Linked DNA regions of Lepisosteus oculatus. The main gene of each other region encodes a partner of the protein of the gene in region 2 in a complex. Links are inferred from orthologs where the notes say so. Each region holds a gene or a part of one and is shown on either strand. Other genes may lie near its edges.

Region 1 (8,013 bases), on a different chromosome or scaffold from region 2:
AGCAGTTTACTGAGGCTGTCCTTGAGAAGGTGCTCTGTAAAATAAAAATGTGAATGAAATTTTAAACACCTTATGGAGAATTGGAATTCTTGCTGCAGAAACATCTCCAGTCAATTTGTTTTGAATTTCCGATATGAGAAATGATCCATAAATGAAGCGGGATGAGGAGTTTCTCGGCTGTAGTTGCTGTCAGCATTTCTCAGTAAATCAGTGGTCGGGGGCGGATAATCACTGGTGTGTTTGATTTGTCGCAGGGGAAGGCCTGGGTGGCTCCCTGTACTGGATGGACCTGATATCACTGGTGAAGGATATAGGCTTCAGCAGACCCTACCTTGTTGCTGCCAGCCACATTGTCATACGTAACCGTGAACTCTTGGAAAAAACGGGTAAGTAGGAATTGGAACACGCGCAAGGCTGAAGGACCTGATCCCGACTTGGTCCCGACATCACCCTCTACAACTGGATTTGGGACTTTCTGGCAGGCAGACCTCAGGCTGTCAGGCTTGGAAACCACACCTCTGGCACACTACTCTGAACACTGGGATCCCCCAGGGTTGTGTGCTTAGTCCATTGCTCTACACCCACGACTGTAAGGCCAAACACAACACCAACTCCATCATCAAGTTTGCCGATGACACCACAGTTGGAGGTCTGATCACAGACAATGATGAGAGGGCCTTCCAGGAGGAGGTCCTTACAACATGGTGTGAAGACAACCTCACCCTCAACGTCGGCAAAACCAAGGAGCTGATCATTGATTTCAGAAACTGCAAAACGGACATGCCCCTATCCACATCAATGGGACTGAAGTGGAAAGTGTCAGTAACTTCAAATTCCTTGGCGTCCATATCACTGAGGACCTCACATGGTCTCTCAATGCCACCTGTCTGATCGAGAAAACGCAACAGCACCTGTACTTCCAAAGACAGTTGAAGAAGGTTAAGATATGTCCCCAGATCCTCACTAACTTTTACAGGTGCACTACAGAAAGCACACTGACAGGTTGTATCACAGTGTGGTACGGCAACTGCAGTATTGCTGACCGCAAAGCCTTACAGCTGGTGCCCAGTCCATCACTGGGGTTGCCCTCCCATTCATACAGGACATAAATGACAGACGGTGCTTGAGGAAAGCTCTAAGCATCATCAAAGACCCCATACGCCCCAGCTACAGACTGAGCCTCTACCATCTGGAAAACGGTACCAGAGCATTCAGGCCTGGACTACCAGACTCGGAGACCGTTTTTACCCCCGCACTATCAAACTATTAAACTCCCAGCCTCTCTCACCTACGATCTGGTAAGAGAGAAGGCACTGTAGGTTCAAACACCTTGAAATCTACCCCTACCTCACTTCAAGTAGCTCACTCCCCATAATTTTCTATCCTTTATTTCATTATGTTGATATTATAATATCTCATTATGATTTTGCACACTGCCTGTTGTCTCGGTCTTTCTTTTCTTATACAATTGTATTGTTGTTTTTTGTATTACTTATTGTCTGAGAGCTAGCTAAATAGCATTTAATTAAACCATATACCTGTATATGAGTATAATGACAATGAACTTGAACAGGCTCATTGCACGACATTGGTGTTATGAAATTAGTCTTCCTCAAAAGGTGCTGTTATGTAACCAGTGGGGCATTTAAAAGACCCAGTTTTGAATATTCTACAGTGTGTTTGTTAGTGGTTTTCCTGGAGCTTTCCTTCATGGGCTGTGCCACACTCAGCCACTAGAAACTATGAGCTGGAAAAGGCAAAGAAAAAGCAACAGGCAGAGGTTTGGTCCATATGTTCCTGTTTAACCATCCAGATGGGGGGTTCTGTTTTTCCATTTTTAAATAGAACAAATTATTTCTGCTGAAAATTTACACTTTATTCCATGGAAGTGACAAATTTTGGCTCTCTGTTACACTAATGCCAGAAATTACATAATTGATTTGAGTGCTAATTTACTTACTTTTACAGTATTAAATGTTTTTTTTATTGCTTAGGTGATATTACATATGCATCTGGGACATACCGTGTCTTTAAATTGCCAAAAAACAGAACTAATGGAAATGCCATCATGACATACCAAGGGACCGTGTCTGACCATCCTGACCAGCTGGTGTTTGATGCTTCTCACACCTTTAAGGTATGCATGTTCTCCAGAAATTCTGCCTTGAGTGCAGACACGTTTCTGAGTTAAACATCTGATCAGATTAGAATGGGAAACAATGTGTATCCCTCCATTAAGATTGTAATGAAAAGAAAACAATAAGCAGTGTCCACTCCTCTTTGACATTGTTGGGTTGTGCAACTATGGAACAAGCTACCCAGCCTTGTTGTTAAAACTGATAACCCTGGCTTCTTTCAAGAAACAATTGGATAAGATCCTGGGATCAAGTAACTACTAACTTCAAAATGGATTAGATGGGCCTCCTCTTGTTTTAACCAATTTGCCATGATTTACTGTTCCAGTAAACTGGTAAATAATCCATTAAGGCAAGTGTAAAGCATGGTGCAGCATGTTTCACTGATTTGGTGATGCACAGTGATAACCTAGAATAAAATTTTCTGTGGTATTTGGAAATTATTTTTTCATTCTTAAAATCTGTTCAGTGAGATTTGAGGTAGCGAGTTTTAGTGCAGAGTTCCTTGTCAGTAACTACTGAAAGAAGTGAGCTGTCCTGCCTATAGCTGTGACTGGTCTGACTGCCTTGTTGCTGATATGATACCACTGAAACTGGATAGCTGATCTTATGAAATTAACATTTGCTCGTATTTGTTTCCATGCAGGGTTAGTTCAGCTCTATAGCAGAGCTATGTTCTGTTTGATACCGTAGTGAGAGCATTTTGTCTCCAGAAAGGTGTAGCTGTTGAGGTGGATGCCGAGACGGCTTCTGTTCTCCAGTACTCCCGCTTTTCATCTGACTTTTCCATTCTGAACGCTGATGCTCCTCTGACCGTCCAGGAGATTTCACCTCCGGTGAGGACATTTCCTTGCAGAGCCTGGGGAAATGCAGCCTAATGCCAGTGTTTCATGTGAAACATTGGCTCATTGTGATAGGTGCATTTTATGTCATTAGAGATTCTTCTGTTTGAATTTAGTAGTCTCTGTCAAATCCCCCTGTGTTACACAAACATAGTATGCATGTCTGAAATCCTGAAAAGTCTCTTGACCATTGTGCCTACAGTATATTCATATTTTATTATTTTTTAATTCTTCAGCCAAATCTCCTGGTAATTGCTGTGCTACAGCTTGTAGCCTAATTTCCACCTCACAGAAACTACTGTTCAGGCTCAAGCCTACACAAGCACCTTCAATCAGAAGGTCACACCACACTTTTTAGCAACCGATTCGGCACATCTTGCAGCCCACTGCCACTGTGCTACATGAGGCAACCCACACAACTTGCATATCCCCTGCTGAACACTCATGTAATGTAGAAATCTTTTTAGTGTGTGGTTTGAGTGATATGAATGACCACCTACTATTTGTTTTTCACAGTTGGAATGTAAAAGGCAGTCAAACCACATCCAAAATTCAACTGTAAACCAGTTTTGAACTGCTCTCATCTAAATGAGAAATGAATGTGGGTCTGTCTCCAGGACTCTGAAGTATGACAGGTGGCCCAGTATTTTTAAGATAATTTATACTAAACCTGTAATACATTTGTGTGCTTTTATGTTCCACTTTTATACTTAAACTACATTTGATGTTGATTCTTTAATACAGAATTAGATGAGGCTCCTAGTTTACTGGGAAATTAAGATGTACTGTGTTTTTTAAATGTTTTGTTCACAATATTAGTTGTTTCTGGAACCCATGATCCCAGATAAGAATTATTTTAATAATCTATTGCTTAAGTGAATCATTGAAATCTTTGAGGTCCCCTGTTTTTATTTTCTTAAAGCCACCATGCCTCCACTCTTAAAGTCTTAAAGACTTTTAAAGTCTCTTCTTTTTTTTTCAGTATTCCCACCTCAACCCTTTCCTGCTTGCTGACCGGCTGGGCGCGTCCATGCTGCAGTGTTCCAAATCCAGGGCCAGAGTGGCCTGTGAAGCAGCAGTGAACTAGCAGGAGGTCTGCAGAAAGCCCTGGGAGGCAGGAGGGGCAGTGCTCTGTCCAGTTACCCTAGTCACAGCTCCCATACTTATCTCTTTGACAATTTCAGCTTTGGTACTCTTTCTGAAGATTTCTGAGGCGTGTTTTTTCCTTGATATAGTGCCTTTTCCTTCCCGACAGTGATCTTTACACCAAAGTATTAACAGAACTGTTTGCTTTAGACTGAAGAGGCAAAACTGGAGCCTAATACAACCTGCTCACGGGCTGCACTGTCCAGCTGCAGTTTTAATAAAATCCATGATAGCAACTCAGCCTTTCTTTTCTGTTTGGAAGGAGTGGAAGGGAAATGTGGCTGAATGTTGTTACGAAGAAAAACCGAACTCTGAGAAACAACCTACATTAAACAGGTTCAAAAAGTGTTCTGTTTCTTTCTTCGTGGTGAGGAATCTGAGAAGGTATTCAACTTCACAAGAGTATATTTTATTTGGCATAGCAGTTTGGTAATCATTAAAAAAAAACATTCATTTTCTACTCGTCCATAAAACTGAAGATTGCTTCGTCTGCTGTAGAGGTGTTTTTGTCTTTTTTACTCTTACAATGTTTGCCCCACTGTTAACCACACAAACTCTTGGCTAAGGCATTATTTTTACAGACCCCAACATATGTTTAGATATTAAATGAATCCTAATTGCACGGATCATGCAATCACTTAAATAGAGGTTACTCCATTCATCACGCTTCCCGGGTACGGAGGTTTAGCTAAATTCTCACTTCTGTACATTACATTTCAAAAACTGACACACGCACCACGGGGTCGCTGACGCCATGTTTGTGGGCCTGTCTGATTATACGTCATTGCAGCCAGTCAAGGCCAAACTAGCTGATCTCAGAGAGCCTGGGTGTCGATGGGCTTGTGTTGACTTTTCTCCTACCTTGCCAATGGCTCCCGCTAGTGCGCTGATAAACAGGGGGACATCTTAGTTATATGTTTTTTTTTTCAATTTCTTGCCATTTTCCTGTTAAGTTTGGTTTGGTTGTGTGTGCCGGCCATGACCGTGGAGCAGAATGTCCTGCAGCAGCACTCTCAGAAGGTAGGGTGGGTGTTGGGGAGCTGCTGCCGAGAAGCGCCGCGGCTGTGGCTCAGTGCCCGGCAGGGTGGACGGTCTCCGGCGCCGCTGCCAGTCGAGTCTCCGGCTTCTCCAGGACAGCGCTTCCACGCTGCCTGAGCGAGCTGTAACACTGGAGAAAATATTACTTTGGCGCTAGGCGGGGTTATTCGACGTCGAGGATTCATTAGCTTTGCCTTCATCGTTTTTAAAGCCGTGCAATTTGCTGCATTCCTAAAGCAAATAACCCAGTTACCCTAAAATATACCTAGGAAGTGAGCATAGTCGTAATCGCTACACTTTATCTTAAAATGCTCGGATGGATCTTGCGTTTCATCGATAATTTGACGAATAACTAACACGAGCCAGAGCCAGGGCCAGATGGCTTGTTTTCGGTTTTTTTTTTTAGTTACTATCGTTTAAGTATCGTTTTCTTATCTCCTCCTATAATTCTATTTAACAACCCGGATCTGAAGAGAGGTGTTGAAAAGTGACTGTTGTTGTTTGTGTAGTCGGGATATAAATGTGATGTATTGATCACAAACGTGCAGAAAACCGTCTTTTTAGTTGTGTGTAGCAATCGTAATGGAGATCTCCTGTAGTTTGTGCGTGTCCTCAGTACTGTATAGTTACTGATGGTAATAGTAGCATGCCTGGCGTTTGATTATTAAATAGTGATGTTTCATTGTAACTCCTCGGCATTCGAAACAGATTTTACAATAAAGCCCGGTAGAGATCAAGAAGTTAAGCTTGTAAACGCAACTGTCTGGGATTGAGCCCGCAATTAGTTACATAACTCTTCCAGCCTTCACTGCCCTGCTGTGATTTCTGAACTGTAGTACCCGAGCAAGCGTGTGCAGATTCCTTTACTCCTGGTTTCCATTTCTATATAGTTAATGCACAGCGTTTGGTGCATTTGTTAGATTTATTACTAATATCTGTCTATGTTAGCTTAATATATTCCTGAAGGGGATTGGTGTTGTGTTAAATGTATAGTATTAAAGTGAAAATATTATTGTATTTGCTTCAGTAGAACAACAAGCAAGGGGCAAAGCAAAATAGCCAAATGGGCTCCCAGAATTGATAATTATGTTCTGGAGCAAGAGGCACTGTGGGCTAAGTACTGTTTAATGTTTCCTACGTATTACAGACACAAGCCACAGGGACAAGACGAGAGGGAGTGGTATAGGATTTCTGTGTTCATTGGAAACCTAGAATCTTGTGGTTTTCTATTCTAGCTGGATTCTTGATTTGGGTCAGTTGCTTAAGCCCTTTATTAATAAAATCACGGTTTAATTAAGCCTTTTTTTAAAGGTTTTTAAATTTAAATCTATACAGTGGGCTATTTAACTACAGAAGTGGAAAGAAAACATAAAAGAAAGCTATAACCATGTACAGGGATTATTCTTTAACCAGCAGCCTCCTGCGAGAAGATCCATATATATTGTGTGTCTGAGAAGTCTTTTTGGCTACACTTTAACATAAATCTCAGAAAGTCTGTTCTGTAGTTCATTTAACTTTTGTGAGTATGCAAATTGATATAGGATACTTTTTTCGCATGCAGGTGGTAGTGCACAGAACCAAGACACTGCAGAATCAGAAACCAAAAGTATTACCACAAGCAGAAACAACTGAATTTCAGTCCTTAGTTGATTCAAATCAAGCGTAGCTCACTTTAAAGTATGTGGTATGGTAGAAGACATCTTGCTTTAAGTTGAATGAATAGTTGTATATACAGACTATGGAGAAATGACACTGATATGGGTTTACATTTTCTGCTGCATGGATAATTGTTCTTCACCTTCTTCACCTTGTAAAAAATAAAAAGGTAAGCTAAACAAAAATGAGCTCCTCTGACATGGTCAAGCCAAGTTCACTTTAAGACTGTGATGTGTACAGAGTTGGCTCCACTGGTACTATATCTAGGTCGAATGTGGAAATAACATTGACTCATTGACTTTACGAATCATTAAAGTCATTAACTATTTAGAGAGGTTACAAACAATGGCCCATCTAGCCTCTTTGGTGGTTTGGAACTAATTGATCCAAGCTGATCCAGATGTTTTTTAAAGAAGCCAGGGTATCTGCTTCAACAGCATGGCTGGGGAGGCTGTCCCATGGTCTCAGAAAATTGCCTGCTTTTCCTGGGTTCAGATGCACCTTCATGTAGCTTCCACATGTGTCCTCTGGTTTGTGTTTCACTGTTGATTCAGTGTTAATATGCTGTCATTTTAACCTTATCAGAAGAATGCATATTCTTGGTAAGGATCATGTTAATTCAGTCTATACCCCAGAACTGTAGGGCGCAAGGTAGGACTATATCCTACGAGGCTGCAGTGCTGCTATGTTTCGTACTGAAGCAGATGAAGACCAAGAGTAATACGAACTGACCATTTCTGCACAATTTTTGACAACTGCCACTAAAGACCAAGACTTAACAATAGTAAAAGACTTTTAAAACAAATTTCAGTAGTTTATTCTGTTAATGTTGTATTTATTTTTCTCCAATACAATAGTTGTTGAGACTTCAACCATGCACAGTCGAAACAGTCTGAATGGAGGATGCTATAGTCGCTGCAATAGCTCATTAGTTTGGTCATTTTAGGCCATTACTCTGACCACATTGATTCAGTCAGTTTTTTTTGGCAGTTGTTGTAAGAAGTACTCATTAATGCTTTTAACAGGTTTTGTGTTTTCCTGAATATCTTCACATATACTATGCACAGTACATCTCGGTGACATGCATTTATTTTTAAGGTGTTCAAAGTTTTCTAGTTATGCAGCAAAGAATGACCACTGAGCTGTTTTAACAGTAACATTCCCGTAACATTGTTTTTCTGTGACATTAGCCACTG
Region 2 (7,115 bases):
AATAAAAATGAAAATCAGAACTGTGCCAAAACAGATTTTTGTGAAACTAAGGGGACATGATTTCATGATTTACACACTCATTGGTTAATATACACAATCCATTCACAATTATGGCCCGAACTGAAAAACTTAAAAAGAGTTTGAATCCAGTCAGGAAGAAGGATTTGAAAATCGGAATAATTCTATTTGTTCCCACAACATAAAACAACTCGGCTATTTCTCTACATTAAGTAAGAATCCGCAAATAATAGGTTTTATGCGAGTGAGATGGAAAAAAAAACATGATGCTGTCTTTTTCTTTAAATAAAGTGTTTTCTTCAACATTAAATGCTGATTGACCAGACAGGGCTGCAGAATCCCTACACTGGCATGTGTGCCAAACACTTTTATCCTGAGCTTAACATTTTGTGTTGCCCCCCCATGACTCCAAGGCAAGTAAAGAAAAATAAGTAGGAAAGGGTCTCAGCATTATATCTATATACACATATACTGAATATGCAGTAGACATTCTACATCTGTAAATGTATGCTTTCACCCATGTTGACCACGTTTTCTGCAAGGAAGGAGTACCTGAGCAGAAGACTGTGAAGCGCTGATAATATCCAGTTTACAGTCCTTTTTTCACTAGGTCATATGCCAGGTTTTAGAGACAGTTTTCATATAACACAGGAAGGTGCAGGCATCAAGTGTAATCCAGAGAAAAGCCAAGCTCTCTGTAGTGATTGTCATATTCTGGTGATTCTTTTGCCAACCAATGTGATTATAACACTGGAAGATACTGGCACTTTCGTTTATTTTGCACTGTCAGTGAAGTACTTTTGACAATCCCTCAGACTCGGACAGTTAAGCAGGTATATGAAAGAAAATACATCTCTGGTGTGAAGTAGCTCTAAATTTTATCAAGCAAGATCTGAGGAATTCTCTCAGAGTTTCTGAAAAGTCTCGGGATGGATGTTAAAGTTATTCATGTTATGTTCCTATCACCACCCATGTCAGCTGCTAGACAAGACGTACGCAGAGAAAGGGCCTGAGAAATGTTCAAACTGCCATACACCTGGATTGCCAGATCTATTTCTGGAACAACCTCCACACTTTTTTCTTCTTTTGTAGTTTTTTTCTGAAGTACAAAATAAGAGCTACCACAAGGGAAGCTGAGAAAAATAGAGTTGTCAAAGTTTTGGTTGTGGGACTTTTGAATATTTTAATACTTTCTAAAAGGTTCCTAACACATTTTGCACCTTTTTGTAGAAAAACACCCTGGCGTGTCCTGGCATGTTGCAGCTATAAATACACATACCTGCTGTTCTACAGCCAAATAAAAGCAACACAAATGGAAGGTTTTGACATCTGATCTTGAATTTATTAAATAATGGTACATTAAAATAGTACTGACTTTTTGTTAGGCTTTTCTCAGGACAATGTGGTCCATTCAGGAGGACCCAACATGGTGGTCTTAAAATCTTAGACTTGGGGTCTTTTCTGCCCCCTTATCTGAGCAGGTGTGTCAGACTACAGACAGCAAAATAAATCACACTGGCTGACAGGTCTGTCAGCACGTGTTGGACCATTTGTCACAAGCATTTACCCAGACAAGGCCTAAACTGGAAAGTAATTTTCATGTGATCTCCCAGTAATAATAATAATAATAATAATAATAATAAACTTTATTTTATATAGCACCTTTAAAGGGTAGGTTCTCAAAGACAGTATTCTCAGTATATCAACATAAGTTTCGATTTTACTTTGCTTGTAATTACGTGGAAAATGAAGCAAAATCGGTCTCATCTTGATTGCAATCACACGCCCTGAAAAGTTTGTGTTCCCCACAAATGACAGACGAAAAGTCACGTTTTGACAGCACAAGTTATTTATCTCCGTGTTAAAAAAAAAACAGCTCTCCATAATCAACTTCACGGATTGCCGCTCCCACAGCGCGCACACAACATGCGGACACCCGCACGGCCTGGGCTTCGTTTAAACGCTCAACCCAACTTCCCAAACTTCAGTTCAGACGTTGTTTTGAACGGATCTCTCCTCGTAAAACCCAGATGGGATAACAGAGCTTCGCGCGAACTAATTCAGACACGTCGCGGAGTGGCGTGACAGCTTATGCTCGCTCAGGTGTTACTAGCCTCTCCTCAAACTGGCACGACCCCCAGACTCGGCAGATGAGGGCTAAACACCAGCGAAGTCTCGCCGCAAAGTTATACTCCAGTTAAAAGGCATCCGCGTTCATCGGCTAAACCACCACAACGCTGCCCACTCCACCGACCTCATCGAAAAAACGGAAGCAACTCTAATGTGCAAAGACACGAATTCCACAGCAGCTGCAGCCTCCCGGATGGAAGCGTGGATTTCCAGTTACTTTGATCCACCCCCCCCTCCTATTTTCTCGATTAGAATTGTCGATCATCAGCGCTTTAATCGTTTATTGCGGGTTTTCAACCACCCTCCAGGGCTGCCCTTACATATCCTAACAGCGACTTCAAATGTCAAGCGATAGAAAACAAATCAAACACACACACAGCGAAATACTGACCGGCCGCGAAGTGAAGCGGGGTGGATTTTCTCCCGGCCATGTCCTTGGCGTTCACGTTCCCCGAGTCCACCAGCCTCTTGACCCGGGACACATCCCCGTTGCGGCAGGCCTCAAACAGCTCCCTAAACGCCCCCCCGCCGCCGCCGCCGCTACCTCCCGGACTTGCAGTGCCCGAGTCCGGGCTGGAGCCGCCGCTGCTGCTGCTGCTGCTGCCCCCGCCGGTGGTTGTCGTCGTGGAGCCGCCGCCGCCGCCGCCGCTGCTGCTAGCAGTACTGCTGCTGCTGCTAAGGGCCGGAGCGGGGAGATCGGGGGAGGCCGGCGTGATCTCCGCTTCCCCGCTGCTGTCCTGGTCGGCGCCAACCGGGACCGTGGCTGCAGCCCCTGCGGGTGCAGGAGCAAGAGGTGAACCTGGGGGAGTCGGGGAGAGAGAGGAGCTCCGCGGAGGGGACGACAGGCTCTGTTGCTGCTGATGAGACGAGCGACGAGACGCCGCCATTTTCACAACACAGGAGTCCCTCTGGCAACAAAAACAGCGCCGCTCACTTCCGGGAAACAAGCAAATGCGTGCTTCCGGACGTGGACAGCCAATGATCGCAGAAGCAAAACAACTTAACAAAGGACAGACGATCCCGTAGCGCAAATATATGCTGTACGGACTTTATTGGAGCCGGGGCAGAAGTGAAACTCAGTAGAAAATGAGGAGAATAACACGCATTATGTACATACATCGAAATAAAAGTACCCTTGAACACTACTCCAATTTATTTTGACAAATTAAAACTTTGCAACGAAGATAAACACAACAAATAATGTAAAAAAAAGTCAATTGGTACAAATGTTTCGCCTCGTTTTCTGCGCAAATAAACACACTTTGTTGAATAGTTAAAGCCATAGCATCCAAAATTAACAGTTACCATATGTAATCCAAAAATCTGGTTAGACAGCTCTTGATCGAACTCAGATTCCTGACATATTATGGTCTTCTTGAAATTTTCAATGTGTTCCTTCAAGGGTTCCCTTCTAAAGGTGTTCTATGGTGTATTTTGAAATAAACACGACAGAGTGCAGCAGAATCACAGTGAAACATTAAACCCAGATGGATAATATTTTTGCCATGGCAGAGAAAATTAAAAACCACATCCTTGTGGTACATGTACATCTTGGAACCCATGCAGTATTACTGGACAGATTTATCATGGTAATAAGAAAAACTGAGGTTTTAGTGGATAACAATTGAGGGGCAGCAATAGAGTACTAGCTGGAAGATTGTGGATTTGATTTTCTTATGTAGACTCTAAGTACCCCATATGAATGGACACAAGCATGGCTGGAGTTACTTGGGCTAGTGTCATATACAACAAAGTCATCTAATCTTAGTCCATTTAACACCACGAAATCTGAGATGAGCTCAAACATGATGAGCCACAAGCCTCCAGGATAGCTTTTAACAACGGAGGATACAGAAATAGAAATGAGTATTTGCTAGTCTCTATGAGCCTGTCAACTCACCTGCACCCAGGAAAATCATGGATCCAGTATATCATCTGCCCATGCTTCTACTTCCATACTCTACTGTGTGATTAACTGTAACAGATTCACAATCGGTTCTTTGTATTACCTTTTTTACCCAATTTTATCACTTCAACATCTACAATGCTAACTTACAGTAAGTTTCTCCTGCATTTCTGGATTTTGCTGGTTGTCTTAAATTAGAAAGACCATCCATGGAGTCAGTCTTATTTTGCTCTTAATGTTGGGAAGGTCTTAATCAAAGCTCATCTCAGCATACTCCAACCCCCACCCCCACCTCCTCCTTCACTGTAGCATTTATTGTGGAAACCAAAATGTTTCTTAACTACTTGGTCTCCTGTACATGACGACTAATCAACACATTTGCTTGTGGACTCTTTATAAAGCCATCTATCTTAAGATTAAAATAATGCAAAAATCGAATAATGTGTCAGCTTTATCCCTATGCAATTTACTTTTCTATGTTTAATGAAAACCTGACACTGGAGATATTAAATAGAAACAAATGCTGCTAATTAATTTCATTGTGTTTTTTTTTTCACAAATGGCAACAATAAACATCACTCATTGTCATAGTAATTACTTCCAGTGCTCTTATTCCTCTTCTAAAGCATGTTGTGCATATAATTAATATGTTTTGAAATGCACTCATACATAATTACATCATCTTGGTAAGGAACCAGGGAGTGTCCGCCATAAGCAACAAAAATTACTGACATAGCATCTTCTTAAAAAACTGACATGAATTTAATCAACTTTTAATTGTAAACATAGCATCAATTATGACAAAAAAACATTTTGCAGCAGGTTGACTGCCACAACATTGATAAGTTAATTTTTCTGATTAACAGTGGGTCACAGGCTACCAGTGTGTGTGGCCCCTGCTGGAAAGAATTCAAGCTTAAAATCTTGACATGTTACATTGCCTGTGTAAATCCTGGTCAAGCATGGGTCAGATCACTTGTCTCTGAGCTCTAAAATGGCACACATCATCCCAGTTCATCCCACTAATGCTCCATAGGGCTCAAGGTTTGGAAGCAGGACATTGTTGACACCACTGTCGCATACTCAGAGAAAGCTGTTACACAAGCAACAGGAGGACTCACTTTGGCTGTCTGGAATGTTATCACAGCTGGATGAGTCCACAGGAGGAGCAACAAGCGATGCCCCAGAACTTCATCAGAGAAGTAGTGTGCAGTTGGGATGTGTTATAAGGGGATTGCTGTAGCGACCGGACACTCTTGCCCAGACCATCATATTTGGATCTTCCTGTTGATCGATCTGTTGTACACAGCGCTTGGCATGACACTCTGCACATCCCTACTACGTTCGCAGAAATCTATCAGGGGGGGCTACACAAAACCCTGATTCATTGTTACGGAGGATTTGGCATCACTGCCTTCATGTCCACATGAATTCATTTAGTCCAGCTTCCAACATATTGATTGCATGAAGGCATTGTTCCCTTGATAAAAGATCCTCTTAATATTGGTTCTTTTCTGTGGTTTTCTCTTTCGATTTTTTACAAGGTTTGACATTAAAACCACCTCATCACCTGTGTCCAATTGACTATCTCACTAATTAGGTGATTTAGTGATTATACAACCGTTGAAGTCACTTAAGTGTATTACAGTCTCAGAAGTATCAATTAGTCAAAAAGATGGCAAGAACATTTAATTAATATCCAATATTTATATACTTTATTTTTCAGTAATATGTTTGTTTTGATGCTCTGTACAAGAGTTTGTAATATTGATGATCCCTATAAAACCAATTGTTGGTTTTGCATCTAAGTCAGGTGTGTAAGAGAAAAGTTAAAGAAAATGACTAAACTGAGTAAAAAAATAACAAAACATTTACCTATCTTTGCAATACAAAGTGCAAACCAGTACCAAACAGGTCAATTTTTTACTTTCCATTGGTCTGTTAATTTAACCCATAAACAACATGCCGTCCATCTTTAAAATGAGACATTAAACTGAGGTCCTGACTCTCAGTGCTCATTAAAGATCCCTGGGCATTTCTCAATAAGATTAGGGAGTTATTCGGTGTCCCAGGCCAAATTTCCCCCCTCTGGCTTTACCGTGGCCTCCAAATTGTATGATTGGCTTGCACTTGCCCTGGGATGGACTGGAGAGCCGTCCAGGGTGTCCAGGGTGTACCCTGCCTTGCATTTGTTGCAGTCACGATTGTAGTTTGTCCCACTTAAGGGCTCTCCGGCTCTTTCACATTTGAGTTGATTTTGTGCACCTGCTCCCAGTTCCTGCCTCCCTACTTAAGCCAGACGCTCACTCTGTTCCGGGCTCTGCATTGGTTTCCAGTACCAGTGGAGTATGGGACCTGGAGCGCCTGGTCCTGTTTCCCCTTTTTCCCCCCGACCCTCCGCCAGATGGTATAAAGCGGTTTGGCGAATGACATGACATGACATGAGATGACAACATGCCATTCAACTTAATCTATGTCTCCAACACACATGACACTACTGTCATTAAAGAAAGAAGCTCCATGCAGTCTTCTTTGTATTACCCAGAAGCCTCTTTTATCTGCTATTCTAAAATAAGCTGTGTTAACACAGGTCAATTTGGAAATAAAATAAGACATTTGCCTAATTCTGTGAAGCCCGATTCACTCAGCCCACACAGTTCACTGGGGCTCTCTGTGATTTGAAGAAAGCTGTGTGAGCTGAAAATCCATTATTTAACATTGCAGAACTACTGTTTGACTTGAACAGAGACTACGAATAGCATTGTTCAGATCAGGGAAAATAATACCTGTATTCATTCTAGTTTAATGTCTTGCCGTGACATCCGCTAAATCATTTTATGTAAAGCAAACAAAAAGAGAACCCAATTGGAATGTTAACACAGAGTACCTAGTTGTGGTAAATCCTAATATACAATATTTATAGGATAATCCTAACTGACGTAAATTACACTACACAGTAGCAAATCACTTACCCTTTCAGATCTTCACATTTGTTTGACCAGAGCTCTATAAAGTCTTATACACTGGCTTTGAAAATAATTTAATTGTTGTTCATTTGGTT

Evidence for each region. The genes of interacting proteins can lie anywhere in the genome.
Region 1: the proteins of poly [ADP-ribose] polymerase tankyrase-1 (region 2) and usp25 are in contact, whole or in part, in a crystal structure (PDB 5GP7), measured with the Homo sapiens proteins. The link is inferred for Lepisosteus oculatus from reciprocal best matches to the Homo sapiens genes TNKS and USP25. Residues at the interface, in NP_003738.2 of Homo sapiens: Arg836, Ser838, His842, Leu843, Gly846, Tyr847, Leu871, Asn876, Ser879, Tyr880, His882, Asp900, Trp902, Phe904, Glu909, Gln912, Lys913, Gln934, Glu935; in NP_037528.3 of Homo sapiens: Ser1046, Ser1048, Arg1049, Thr1050, Pro1051, Ala1052, Asp1053, Gly1054, Arg1055.

What each region holds. Positions count from the first base shown.
Region 1 is NC_090700.1:252,919-260,931, reverse strand, and holds the start of usp25 (ubiquitin carboxyl-terminal hydrolase 25), read left to right. Parts: upstream 1-4,920; 5' UTR 4,921-5,101; coding exon 5,102-5,143; exon of another isoform or gene 5,144-5,291; intron 5,292-8,013. Other genes in the region: arsenite methyltransferase, read left to right, coding at 255-386, 1,995-2,137, 2,849-2,971, 3,960-4,064. UniProt on the Homo sapiens protein: Deubiquitinating enzyme that hydrolyzes ubiquitin moieties conjugated to substrates and thus, functions in various biological processes including inflammation and immune response.
Region 2 is NC_090698.1:18,734,468-18,741,582, forward strand, and holds the start of poly [ADP-ribose] polymerase tankyrase-1, read right to left. Parts: upstream 3,084-7,115; 5' UTR 3,036-3,083; coding exon 2,540-3,035; intron 1-2,539.